Lytechinus pictus: one gene and its partner. The protein of the gene in region 2 purifies or fractionates together with the protein of the main gene of each other region. This does not show direct contact. Links are inferred from orthologs where the notes say so. Each region holds a gene or a part of one and is shown on either strand. Other genes may lie near its edges.

Region 1 (7,457 bases), on a different chromosome or scaffold from region 2:
TCTATTATCAACATCATTGGTGAGTAGGACAATCTTGATCTTAGTGTCTTTGAAGTGATTATCATACCAAGTAAGGCTCTTCCGTATTGCTCTATCGTTGAAGTCATTAGGAGATTCCTTTGGTTCGATCTCAATATATGTCTCTCTGAGGAAAAGAAAATAATGATAAAGGATGAGTTGTGATCTCCAAACTGGCGCTCCAGGGAGCATTTCATGAAACTAATACATGAAGCCAGCAATTTCCACTGAAAATGTTATAAGCTACTGAAATCCTTGCATCTGATTGGCTCTGCATAGTCTGTCAGTGAAATCATTCAAAAGAAGCTCCATGAAACACTATACTGGACTGGTCATGTTTAATAAAGCTTGTTATCGATGGCAACTTGCCACTACAATAAGCTAAAGCAATCTCGCCAAGTTAATTAAATGGCTAAGAAGATATTCATTACTAATTTATGGTATTTCATTTTGGTAACAAGTTTCATGATAGCTAGTCCCTAATGCCCACTAAGTAAAAACATGGGCAGCCAGGCCTGTGGGCAACAGAAAATTTTATAATACCAGTGTTGTAATACTTCTGCCTGATCATAACCTGGCAAAAACAACTTGACCTGATTTATTTCAAAGCCATGTTATGCCACTGCCTTGACCTTCTTTAATAATAAAAATACATGTGCTACATGTATACACTTATCAAGCACACTATCGTGCAGAGGAGGTACATGGCATAAGCCTATCGATAAACCTTTCTCTTTAATAAGAGTAAGGAAAATGTTTACTTAGGATACCAAAATGATGATAAATATAATACTTGTATCCAGCATTATAGTCACATGGAAAAATTCTGTATTACGGTATGGGCATTTATCTCTCTGACTTTGAAAATATTTTAAAAACATAATGTTAATTGTAAGATCCACAACATTGACCATAAATGATGATAAATCAAAGTGAAGTCATATCCTCACCTGTGGTGTTCATTTGTGAATACATAGAACTTTTTTTTGTCATTTGCAATGAGATCTCGTATCCTTTTGTACGATGGCAAACTTCTGTGTTTGACCTGAAAATAGAAAGTGACATTTTATTTAGTATTAAGACTGGCGCATTTTATCACAATTAATGTGATTAAAAAGCAGTCTTGAATTGAACAGAAAACTCATTTATCTCCCAGTGACAAGATGAACTACCAATACAACAGTGTAAGACAAAACCTAATAAAATAGGCATCTAAAAATCAATGCGATTTCAGAAAGCACTTTCAGATATTTAGCTATAAAAAGCTTCTTACAAATGAGAACTTATTTTTTTACACTTATGTAAGATTTAGTGGCATCACTACCCTAAATTCTCATCTTTGCAGTCCCTTTATCACAATATACCATCTTGAAAACACCTTCACCACAAGTCTTCTTTTTATATAATTAATACACACATAATTTAATCAATAAATTTGTATTTAGCCCATACCTCATTCTGAACTGTCTGCAGGAGAATGACATTTTTAATTGCTTTGTCCTCCAGTATATCCACCTGTGAAAGATAGAAAAAATACCCTTGAGAAATGTGCATGTATAGATACAAATGTGATGTGGGAGTTGTACTTCTGGGCCCTGTCTTACAAAGAGTTATGATTGATCCAATCAACCACAACTATGGAAAGCCAGCAACGTCAACATCTAAAATACATGTTTGTTCAAAATTCCAGATATGATGCATATTCATACATTCACTGTTTTCTTGACAATTCAATATGCTTCTCATTCTATTCAAAGGACATTGTGCAAATTTCCTAAAGAAAAAATTATGACATTGATGAATCATACTCTTTGTATCACCCACCCACCCTTCTTCGATCGCCGTCAGCACAGCTACAGCTGAGCATATGAATGAGCTGTAGCTGACGGCGATCAAAGAAGAACCTGGCTGATCCAAATATGTTTGTCATCAAAATTTGCTATTTTCCAGCATATTTTTCAGAAAGGTGGTAAGCTGATTGTATTTTATATCAATTCATCTTAATTATTTCTTCCTTTTCCCCCATCATAAAGCAAAATTTATGAGTAATAGAGCCTAGAGGGTGCAAAAGTGTACCCTGGCCTTAGTTTCTCCAGACGCTGTACTGTAAGTGTAATTAAGCGGAGGTTGTTTGCTCCACCATTACGAACCTAGCTAATCATGCAAATGGCCGTCATCCGTCTTTGTAGTGTAGGACCAAAAAATCTGAAAATATTGAAAAACTACTCCAAAACAGCAGATTTATCAGTCTTCGTCAGACCATACGGCATTATCCACCACTCCATTCACTGCCGTTTATTTTGTCATGTTCATCAGTGGCGGCGACTTTTTTCATCTCCCATTGACTTTACTAAACAACGAGCGCACACACACACTGATACACACGAGAAGAAAGGTGACTTATTTCAGGATAAGGACGACCACATTTTAAATTTGATTGCAACTTTTGCGAGCAAGCCAAGAATAAATCATGTGACCACTCCACTGTCCACTCACCAGTGTTTTTTTTTTTTTTTTACTTTTCTTTTGCTAGGCCCTAGTATTAAATCTTTGATGTTCCAACCATGCCAACTAATTGAGCAGCCATTAATTGCCCACAATCATGAAATCCTATTCTTTTCAAGAGGACAGCTCACCTGATGCAAAACTACATTTGTATCAAGAAGGAGATAATGAGGATAGCGGCACAACGTGTTTGCCACTTCGGGCACGGGCTCCTTCTCCAAGACCGGCTTATCCATTGAGCATTTGGAACAAACAGCGGATCCACACCAAATATCGTCCCTCAGATAGTGCTCCCTCACAACCTTCATCACTCCTCCTTTCCGAGTCTTCTTCACAAAACTCCTGGAAGTCAGCATGGTTGACTTACTGACCTTATTCAAAGATCACAAAAACCTAAAACGTTGAAGAAAAACTTAATTTCATGAATGATCTTCTCCGTCGGCACAAGACATTTGCACGCGAGACCATTATGTTTACCATTTGATATGGTGTCTTCGATCACGATCAAAATGAAAAATTGGGGCAACCGTAGCGTAGGGGAAGGCGGGGTAAGTTGAGCATAGGGGCAAGTTGAGCCACCACCTCCCAGAAGCGGATCTAAAGGGGGGGTTGCAACCCCCCCCCCCCCAAAAAAAAAAAAAAAAAAAAAATCCGGGGACCATTTTTTTAAATCTTATCTTTTTTTTTTAACTTGTAATTCCATTTTCACACACAGATTTTCAAAAATTTTCCCTACTGTGGGAGGGGGGACACCCCCTCCCACACCCTCCCCCCTCGCTCGCTCCGCTCGCTTGGACTCGGTCGCTACGCTCCCTCGCATACCACCCCAACCCCCCCCTTTATAAAAAGCTGGATCCGCCCCTGACCTCCAGGCCAATAATAGATGAGTCAGACATTGTGGTGGTGTCATGTATTGATAACCATTACATAACTCTTAACCCCACCACATTGTTTTCAACTTTGAAACAAAAAGTACTTTTTTAGAGGGAAAAATACAAATTTCAGCCAAAAAAGTAAAAAATGGTGTGAAATAGATCACTGCTTTTTACCCACACACGTCTTTAAGTACAACTGTATAATAAAGAAATAAGAACAAGATTGTTAGTCCAGGTATGGATTCTCATTCTTGTCATAGTCTTTTACATGATGGATGCATAAGAAATGTGTGGATGTGAAAATATCGCATTAAGTTCCGACTGGGGTAATTTCAGCCAGCCAAAATGGGGCAAGTTGAGCAATGGTAATTCGTATGGTAATGTATAATCAAATGATTAAACAAAAACCTTAAAAAGCCATTGATATGCAGGCAGAAAGGAGCAAATTCACATGACAGTTCTTTTACTTTTAGAGGATGTTAGTATTTATAGATATAGCAAGTGAAAAGACTTTAAATAATAAATTGACGTGCGGGTTCGCATACAATTTGTACATAGTTTTTGTGGCTCAACTTACCCCAGAAGGTGGCACAACTTACCCCACAGATGGGAAAAGTTGAGCCATTTGACATCGTTTTTTTCAAAGGTCAGAGTGTCTTTTAGTGTGGGGGTAGAGAGTTATATATAGGTGAAAAATATTTCCAAATAATCAAATTAAAAGGCATGCAAGGTACTTATTTCTACAATATCATTAGTCATATCAGATCTAACATGCAAAATGCAAAAAGTGTCACAACTTACCCCGCCTTCCCCTACGTACCGATCAAAGCTGCGAATCGTCTGGAAATCGAGCATTAAAATGAGCAAATGTGCCGGGGGCAGGCGTGGATTAAGCCGGGGAGGGGGCACAGGGGGCACGTGCCCCCTCCCTTTGAGAAGCAAAAATTAAAATTTGTAATGTAAAAATGCCATTAAAACATAGGTGTGCCCCTATATTCCTTAAAGGACAAGTCCACTCCAACAAAAATTGATTTGAATAAAAAGAGAAAAATCCAACAAGTAAAACACTGAAAATTTCATCAAAATTGGATTTAAAATAAGAAAGTTATGACATTTTAAGTTTCGCTTAATTTCACAAAATATTTATATACACATCCTGTTTGGTATGCAAATGAGGAGACTGATGACGTCATCCACTCACTATTTCTTTTGTATTGTATTATATGAAATATGAAACATTCTAATTTTCTCCTCATTGTCCAGTGAAACAACACTCTAAAAACAAATCAGTCAAAAATGACTGGTTAATTGGGTCAGCTGGGTGCAACTGTTATTCTAGTCATATTTGACTATTTTCTAGTCATATTTTACTAGAATAGAGTTATTTCTGACTAGAATATATGTCAGAAATGTGACTATCAGTGATTGCCATATCAGTTGCTCCCAGCTGACTACTGGTCTAGTCAATTTGACTGATCGGTTTTAAGAGTGAATGATTAATTCCTCCATGAACATGTGGAATTAGCATTGTTTAATACTATATTATTCAGTCAGGTCGGTCCCTATGGTCAAATCTGTAAAAAATGAAATATTGTATAATTCAAACAATAAAAAACAAAAGAAATAGTGAGTGATGGACATCATCGACTGACTCATTCGCATGTCACTGAGTTGTGCATATCACTGTTTTGTGAAAAATAAGCGAAACTTTAAAATGCCATAACTTTCTTATTTTACATCTGATTTTGATGAAATTTTCAGTGTTATGCTAGTTTGATTTTCTCTATTTATTCAAATCAACATTTTGCTGGGGTGGACTTGACCTTTGATTGAATATCTTTTTTTTTTGCTTCTCAATTTTTTTTCTGGTACGAAATACCCTTAATTTGTTGCTGAAAACCTTTTTTTGGGGCTCGTCAAATTTTTTCGGGTACAAAATATCCTTTAATCCTTTATTTTAATCCGAAAAAAATTGCCCCCCCCCCCATTGGAAAATTCTGGATCCGCCCCTTAGGGATAGGGGAAGCAAGGGGGAAGGGGCAGGCTGCCCCCCCCCCCCCGGTGGATTTCACCGGGAAAGCGAAAAAACGGGAAAATAGAAAAGGGAGGAGAAAGAAAGGGCACATAGTAAAGGGAAAGGAATTAAAGGGAGAAAAGAGGAAAGAGGAAAAGGCAAAGGGTAAAAGTGAAAAGAAAACTAAGAAGAAAGAAAAATGGGAAACGGAAGGAAAGCGGGAAAAGGAACGAAAGAAGAAGATGTGAGAAAGAATAAACCATTCTGAAATAGCATGATACATGATTGAGAAAGGGATATGAATTAAAACATAGGCGGATCTAGGGGGGCCCGAGGGGCCCGGGCTCCCCCCCCCCCCCTATTGGCGGAGCAAAAAAAAGAAAAAAATGAAAAAAAGAAAAAAAGAAAGAAAAAAGAAGAAAAAAGGAAAAGAGCGGAGAAAAAAGAAGAAGAGGAAGACGGGTGAATTAAAAAATATTGAAATGAGGGGAAAACTTGGAAAAATAAAAAGAATCTTTCATGTCACTATACAAAATTTTCGCTGGCGCATCGCGCTCGCATTGCCTGTTAGGTGATTTACATAACTAACTTGTTCAATATTGAGCTTAAATACCAAGTTTGGAAGTCAATATACAAAACATATTTCACCTCGGAAATCGAACTTTCATTATTTTGTGTGATTTACAAATTGATTTTTATAAAGTGCTATGTAAAAATGTCAGTTATTTGAATATTAAAATTTTCTGCTCGCGCTGTGCGCTCGCAAATTTTGATTTATCAGGTACTTATTATTTTCGTGAATTCCATTAAGTTTTTCAAAATATCCCTTTTCAGGTCTGATTGTCAAAACGTATCAGCTAGCGCTGCATGCTTGCATTTTGATTGGCGATTTATGTTTGTGTCAATATTGATTACACAACAAACTACTTAAAATCTCCTTTTCATGACAGTTTATCAAAAATTTTGGCTCGCGATTTGCACTCGCATTAATTCCGCACCCACATTATGCATTTATAAATAAGATATCAATTTAATAATTAAATTGTCCCTTTTGTTTCATCTCGCGCTTAGCAAGAGGAATAGAAAAATAGTCATCATTTTCAAATGATGACATGTCCTAAGGATTTCCCAGTCCTTTGTCAAAACTAAAAAAAATAATAATGATGAAAAGTATCAGCCCTTTATTAAGTGCGATCCATATCCACCTCACAATTTTTCTACAAAGTGCTTGCCTATAGAGCTGAAAATGACCCTTTTTTAAGATCGGAATATCAAATATTTTATGCTCGCGCTTCGCGCTCGCTTTGATTTTCATGATAAAAGATGTATTTAGAATGCCTAGATTCTTGGATTAAATCTGAAACACGCGCGTGCATCTGCTCGCGCTTTGTGCTCGCATTATTAATGTAGGAAGATCCCCTATTAGTCACCCTTTTCATGATTTACAAAACATGAACAGAGTGTACCATTTTTAGGTCTAAATCTCGAATTTTTCCGCTCGCATCAATAATTGTTTAGTTATATGACAGTTTATCAAAAATTTTGGCTCGCGATTTGCACTCGCATTAATTCCGCACCCACATTATGCATTTATAAATAAGATATCAATTTAATAATTAAATAGAACTGTTGATTTCCATGCCCAAAATCCAACAGCCATTTGGCTATGCCCGCTTTGTGATATGATGAACTTTGCTAGCTCATTTTTTTACTCTTCACTTGACTCTAATAAATCTACAGAATCTATATTGAACTTAAGTGGGTCTAACTCCTTTGAAAGTCTTACGTCCCTTAATGAGGGCACCGAGGACGTTGAACTACGTTATGACCACTGGAATAAAGTAAATCATCAAGCCCAATTCGTACCAGTTCAGGACTAGGCCCCCTAAATGATTCTAAAGTCGGAGTTGGACGCCGTGAGAAAGACCTAAGAGTAACTCCACTGAAACTTACAAGAACCAGCAACAGTTGGACGATTGTTGGAAAAAATGGAAAAAGTAACATTCCAACTGATAGAACTTCACCAACAAATAGACTTTCTTGCC
Region 2 (7,608 bases):
AGATAATCTGTCGAGATTTGCTGAACCATTAAATCAGGTAAACATGAGATAAAAATCGTTTCTCTTGGGACTCATTTGGGCAGCCACTGAAGTGATTTTAAAACATGAGCCACGCGAGCAATTGCCTTGGGTGGTGATGGACATTTCATTGATTTTTTTTTTTAATCAGCGACTTTACAAATAAAAAATAATAATACATATTCTAATAACTTTTTAAATCTTTGATGGATTTTCCTCAAACTTTCACCAATATTTATCTTTTTTTTCTCCTATCTGTACAATAAACTTTTTGTCAGGGTGAACTCCCCCTTTAATGATTGGTCACTTGGAAATGAAACCTACGTATCATGAACGTGTTTTCAGTTGGGAAAATTTGGAAATTGCAAAATCACTTATCGTTTATTTCTACCATGTTTATTTTTTAAAGAAAATTGAGACTTCGAAAAAGTGTTTTTGACCATTTTCATCATTTTGCAATTAAAATTCCCTTTAGAAAGATGTTGCAAAGTCTTAGGGATATTTCTGATCTGTACGATGCAGGATCTAGGGGCGGGGGAGTTTTTTTTTGTATGGTAGTTTTTATTTGACAACTTCAGTTCATATACAAAATAAAATACATATAAGAAATAGAAGTTTGATGTCTTTACAAATTGATAAATACCTTGACAACTCATAAATTTAACACCATTTTTCCCCTTTAGTGTTACAATAAAACACAATGTCAGCTCTTCCAATACATAATTATAAATAACATTGATGATGATTATAATATGCATTAAGAATAAAAACTAATTCTACAATAAATTCAACATATTTATTTTTTCCAGTGTCAAATATCAACATGAAAAAGAGATTTTCCAAATACACATTGGCATGACATATCGATTAGAAATACCTAAAAAATCTATTTTTAGATATTTCTAATCGATGTGTCGATCATGCGGTCTCATGCCCCCCCCCCCCCCGCCACTAGATTATTAATCAATAGAAGAAACTGTACACACATGTAAAAAACAATACAATAAATTATAGTCTGTTTTAGATGAAAGAATGAAAAATAAACGTTAAAAACAAGCAATTAGCCGTCAAACAAATAACATTAACTTTACATCTCGCTCCCGCGCCCGGGATCTTGTTTTTCTCCTTTGACAAATTCATGCACACACGTGTCGCCCTAAGCCCCATTTCCAGCAAGCTAGCCAACACTCATTGTGAGTAACTTGTGACATGACAGCAGATGACATGAGAAATTGAGAATGAACGTTAAGAATATTACTTAGAAAGTAATTAGCGGGAAAATTATGAGGAACAATTCATTTTATGATAAAAATTTCTTGAAAACTATCAGAAAACGGTATCATGTAAAAATGAAAGGCTACGTCGGACCCAGGTCGCACCGCGGACAATTCAGTTCTAACATACATTGTAGCATGCATGTCCGGCTCAGCTAGGCGCGCTGGCAACGCTAGTGTGGCTGCTCAGGCTTGGCTGGCTGGCTCGCCGGCCGGCTGGAAGTGGAAATGCGCCAGTTTCTACGCATGGATATTTTCCGGTCATCAATAATAACATCGTAGTTTGTCTGTTGCCGAAATGATTCTGAAACATCCTTTACTTTTGAGGATTGATGATGAATGATGCAACAATTATTTCCGATGACTTTTCCCCACTTTTTATGATTTTTTAAAATTTTTTTTAATTTATTTTTTTGCCTGTGTCGCTCGCGTTTTGCACGTGACGCATATAGAGCTTGTGGAATTTACGTGTGTCGCATGCGACGCGTGTGTTCTACACTGGCGAGAACGTTGGTAGCAACATCTTCACATTTTCTGGTAGCCAAGTGGTTTATCTATCAATGTGACATGTTTCCATGGCAGCTCACAGAGGCTCAAACAGTCTAGGTCAGCATAAAGACTTAAAAATGCCAATTTTCAGCCACTAGCCCACACAGCTTATAGCCTAGGCTAAACTAATATGGGGATGGGCCAAAATGCATTTCCAGACACATTTTATAGGGCATTTAACTATTAAGCCTTATTTTTCACTATGTAGGAAATTTTATGGTAAGTTTTGAGCAATGTCTTTGACAATGATGCTAATAGGTAATGCTTTTTTAGTAGAAATGCCATTTTGTTTTTTTCGTTGTCCTACCTAACCATATTATTTTCTGAACTTAGTCTTAGATTATGTTAGAAGCTAGTCCCTAGTTTATTCTTTTTATTCAAATGAACTGTTGTTGGACAAATTCAGGGCCGGGTATGTGCAGTTACACATAATTACACTGATTATGTTGCTATGTCTTTGAACAGGCTTGGCTATTTTTTTTTCTTCCAATCAATGACAATGGTGAATCATAATGGATCACAATTTGTTTTGACAAAAAATGAAAAATACTAATTTACAATCATTATCAAAATTGGGCATGTTGGGTAGCATTTTGAAGATTGAACATGGTCATGCGAGTTCAGAAACAAAGTCTTACGTCCAAACTTCTGCCTTGCTTTAAATATTTGGCTAAAAAAAGAGAATAAAAACAAAACAAAACAAAAACACCCGTTCCCCAAGGCAAGACAAGTCCACGACGCGTATTCGCCACATTCAGGCTCTAGTCTACTCTTGAAGTTGAACTCCGCCGCTGCGCCGGCGGTGGAACTTCGACTTTTGCCATGCCCCCACATGGCCCAGCGCGGCGGCCACCCACGGGCACGGGAATGCCGTCATGGCCGTTCCCGTCGCTACTACTGGTCCATTAATTCATCACCTCATAAAATCTGTGTCGGCTGTAATGGTTGCTCCTGGTGTTACTAATCGTTGAGGTTCTGTAAATTCATCACAAACTCGTCTTTCACGAGGAGCGGTGATGGATATTGCCATTTTCCTTCCCAACTTTCGTGCACAAATAGGTCAAACGTACTGGCCTAACTAACTGAGCTAGTCAACTGAACATGCAGACAATTTTAATATGACAGCAGCAAATTGGTATCTTTCAATCGCGAATAGGAGTCATTTCGTCTGAAGTGTGGATGTCAAGTCAAAACTATTCAAATTTATTGTCAATCATGCTCAAGTAAAATAAGTGAAATAAATCAACAGAAATGTCAATGCGATTCCATAAATTTCAGTTAGGTTTTAAGTAAATTTTATCTCGCTGTGAAGATTTCAAATGGATTTCCCCCCTATTTTGATTGATTAATGCTTGCCAAAGTCTCTTTGGGCCAAAGAACAGGGGAGAACAGTATATATGAGTCGTGCTACACTATTATTGCAGCACTTCTGTAAATTTAGTTGGTATGGTATAATGTATATCATTAGGCTTCTATTACCAAATTGACACATAATAAGCGATAATCACAATAGGTTTGACCAAATTCACCTTCATTCTTACAAAAAAAACCACGTTAATTCTTTAAGCCTGTCAGTCACTCTAAAAACAAGTTAATTGTTGAAACTTTTTAACAAAACTTGTTTAGAAAGTTTAAACAGTGGTTGTTAGAGTGACGGGCTTAAACAAAGTGCTTTCAATTTTAAACAGCGTTTTTTTACAGTCATTTTGTTTCTTGTTTTGTTTTTTGCTTGTCAATTTTTTCTTAATATAGAAGCAGAACCCCTCTTATAGAAAATCGGTCCCAGCCCAGGCCCCTCTCCCCTTTAATGTTTTATTTAGCTATACGTCCATTATTCATCAATTGAGAAATTTGAGGGGCGTCGCACCTATACTGCTTGACTTCATTTTTAAGTTTTTTTTATTTGTTTTGCTTTCATAATCTATTTGTTTATTAGTTTGATTCAATTGACTTATTCGAAAATATGAAAGACCGAATGAATTAACTTCTTGAATGAAAACAAAAATGAATTATCTCTTTGCTTATGCACTAGGGGTGGTGGAGCAAAGTTATAGGGGGCACAGGGGAAAAAGGCACCTTTTCTTTTCTCTTAAAACAAATAAAAATGATTCATCTACAGCCTAATGGGGCAACATTTTTGAGGGGGCTAGATATATCACGTTAATTTATAAGAAGCTGCGATTTTTCCATTATATTCAGCAAATAACACATTTCATTGCTTCCATTCATTTCATAATACGTTGTATCATATCATTTCTTTTATTTCCTATTGGGTGTGGACCCAAGACCCCCCCCCCCCTCCGTCCCCGGGCCTGTATACGCCCCCTGCCCCCGCCTGTTACGCCACTGCCACTCACATAGCTTAAGGCACGTAGGATTATCCTTACAAGTTTTGTATATAAACATATACATATAAACAAAAATTAGAATAGTTTTCTTGTTTCAAAGGGGCAATCGATCGTTAACTAAAATCCATCTCATGTGAAAGGGGCAGTACAGAACATGTTTGTGTGCATGGGGCACTGATACGAGATAGGGCACTTACAAGAAGGCATTTCTAGGGCCGGGCACTTAATTGCTCACACATAAAACGGGCCATATAGTCAAGGGACATAAGCAAGGGCACTTTCTCGCACATAAAACGGGTCTTTCTATTAAGGTGAAAGGATCACAGAACACGTTCAAGGGGGTGCATTTTTGCTTTAAAAAATTGATTGGCACTTATACGAGAAAGGGCACTGCACCTAAAACGGGTCCTCCTCAGGTGAAAGGGGCACAGAACACGTTCGTGAGGGGGCATTTTCGTGCGTAAAAAGGACACTTTCAGTGCTTCAAAAAGTGGGGGGGGGGGGGGTACACGTGCCCCCCACACCCCCAGGATCGCCGCCCCTGTTATGCATGATTATATCACCTAGTGAAGTTTTAGATATGACAATATATAAACTGGAAAAAACGATAATGTTTTGCAAGGCTTTTGTTTCCATTTAAAATTAAATTTCTGGAGGATTTTGGAGAAAGGCATTTGTATTATTATTTTTATTTACTAGGGGCAGCGCTGCTGCATGCATATATGTTCAAGTTGACCCCTAAATCCAAACTCCTCATGAGTAGGCCTGCTACTACTATTGAAAAATGAAATAAAGCCATCTTGATCTTATCCTTTATTTTCAAAAGTGAATTGATTTATTTTATTCCCGGCCCCCGTTGCTTTTAATTGTGTGGTACTTGATATTAGTATATAATTATCTCTGTTGATTGCATAGAGATATATACTAATAACGTAATTAGTATACATCTCTATGGTTGATTGGTAAGTTTGGTATCATCATGGACCTACTAGCTAGTAGGTCCATGGTATCATACAGTACTTGACTTGTAAACGTTATTGCGCAATGATGAGCTACATACAGCTCTATATTAATCGATAACTTTAGTTGTATACCGGTACCTTTCGAGTTTACTGAGACTGGAGTCCGTTTAATGAATGTCACTCATCAAACACATACTATTAAAACATAAATGGCCTTGACAATTTGTAATAGACCTACTGTGTTCAATAGGTTCAGTAGGACGACGCGGATGAAGAAAAATAGGAATTGCACTTGGAGTATCTTTCGAAATTTACATCAAAATCAGCGAAAGGGTAAGTAACGCGCAACGCCAACGGCCTACTGCCGCGGCTGCTGCCCGCCGCGTCCCCGGCCCCGATTGTGCTCGCCCGCTCTCTGAGCGCGAGCTTACTCGGCAAGCTCGCGCCGAATTATTGCTTAGCGCCTCGCCTTCGGCTGGTGCGTTTGCGGACAAAAGCGTGGGCCCGGTGAACGTTCAATCAATTTCAATCCAATCCAAAATGATTTTATTTTCTGAATCTTTAAAACATACGAATTCATATTTGATATGCAGATAAGGGAAACAAAGTAAAAAAAAAAATGAAGCAGAAACAAAACAAACTGAAAACATAGACAAAGGGCAAGGTGCAAAAGAGTAACTATTGCTGTTCCCCTTTTCAGTCGGTCTACTCTAGTATGGCAGTGTATCCTATTACCGGACACCTTTATTTCAGTGCTTTAAAAATGACAACTAGAGGAAATACAATCAAGAAATTTTCACACTTGCTATTCCAAATATTATGAAAATTATGAATATGATAAAATTATTTTATATTTACCAACCATTTTCTTTGCATCGCACTTGCCGCATACCCCTCCACGAAAAACAATTATTTTCATGCGCGACAAATTACATCATGATTCCGGACGCGCGCCGGACGGGCAAAGATATCCTTGATTCTAATGATGTAAGAACAAATTTTTTTGATTTTTTTCTTCTTATATCATATCATGAGTAAATTCTAAGTATTATTTGCTTTTTTTTATATCGAATCTGAGCAGATGTTGGTAATAAATTCGTGTTTGATAACTTATTTTATTTTGTCTTGTTAGCTGCATGTTCCATGGCACTTTCCAATAATAATATGCTCGCGTTCGTATCGTGACGCTCATCAAGTTCTATCGATGCGCTGCCGATCGACGGCTCTAATCACGGTAAACCTCGCGCACGGGTACCTTGAGAACTAGCCGTCGACGGTCACCCACAATACACCACACCTCATCATTCGATCGAAGGAGTGGACGAGATTGAAATTCGGCAAATCAAATCAAATCGGCAAAATTTCATCATCGGATGTAAAATAAGAAAGTCCACCTCAAAAAAAAAATGTTGATTTAAATTTTAAATCAATAGAGGAAAATCAGATTTATCATAATGCTGGAAATTTCATCACAATTTTGCACAATTAATTTAGTCACATGCAAATGAAAGAATCAATGTTGTCCCTCGCTATTTCTTTTGTTTTTTATTGTTTGAATTATACGATATTTCAATTTTTACAGATTTGACAATAAGGACCAACTTGACTAAACAATAAAATGTTAAACAATGGTAATTCCCCATGTTCAGTGAGGAATAAAACTTTGTTTCGCAGGACAATGAGGAGAAAATAGGAATATTTTTGTTATTTCGTATAAGAAAATACAAAAGAAATAGTGAGTGACAGATGTCATTGGTTCCCTCATTTGGATACCAACCAGATGTGCATATAACTTTTTTGTGAAATTAAGCAAAACTTTAAAATGTCATGACTTTCGTATTTTACATCAGATTTTGATGAAATTTTCAGTGTTACGCTTGTTAGATTTTTCTCTTTTTATTCAAATCAATTCTTTGTTGGGGTGGAATTGTCTTTAATATTTTGAAGTCTTGCTTAATTTCACAAAATAGTTATATGCATATCATGGTCGGTATGCAAATGAGATGACCTATGATGTCATCCACTCACTATTTCTTTTGTATTTTTTATTATCTGAAATATTCTAATTTTCTCATTATTTTCCAATGAAACAAAGTGGCATTCATCCCTGCACATATATGCACATTTCATTTAAAAAAAATCCTTTTATGGTTCAGTCAAGTTGGCCCTTATTGTCAAATCTGTAGAAATTGAAATATTGTATAGAATTAAATTCAAACAAAAAATAAAAGAAATAGTTATAGTGAGTGAGGTACATCATTGTCTCATTCATTTGCATATCACCGAGTTGTGCATAGATAAAACTGTTTTGTGAAAAATAAGCAAAAATTTAAAATGTCATAACTTTCGTATTTTACATCCGATTTTGATGATATTTTCAGTATTGTACTTTTTTTATTTTTCTCTATTTTTCAAATCAACTTTTTTCTAGGGTGGACTTGACCTTTAAGTTTTGGA

What was found. The genes of interacting proteins can lie anywhere in the genome.
Region 1: the proteins of exosome complex component RRP4-like (region 2) and exosome complex exonuclease RRP44-like purify together in Drosophila melanogaster (affinity purification with western blotting; 3 studies listed by BioGRID, with this or other methods). This does not show direct contact. The link is inferred for Lytechinus pictus from reciprocal best matches to the Drosophila melanogaster genes Rrp4 and Dis3.

Annotation. Positions count from the first base shown.
Region 1 is NC_087249.1:53,877,125-53,884,581, forward strand, and holds the start of exosome complex exonuclease RRP44-like, read right to left. Parts: upstream 3,017-7,457; 5' UTR 2,880-3,016; coding exon 2,655-2,879; intron 1,534-2,654; coding exon 1,471-1,533; intron 1,064-1,470; coding exon 969-1,063; intron 146-968; coding exon 1-145.
Region 2 is NC_087259.1:10,557,117-10,564,724, forward strand, and holds the start of exosome complex component RRP4-like, read right to left. Parts: upstream 3,012-7,608; 5' UTR 2,872-3,011; coding exon 2,759-2,871; intron 1-2,758. Other genes in the region: ubiquinone biosynthesis protein COQ4 homolog, mitochondrial-like, read left to right, coding at 5,361-5,484.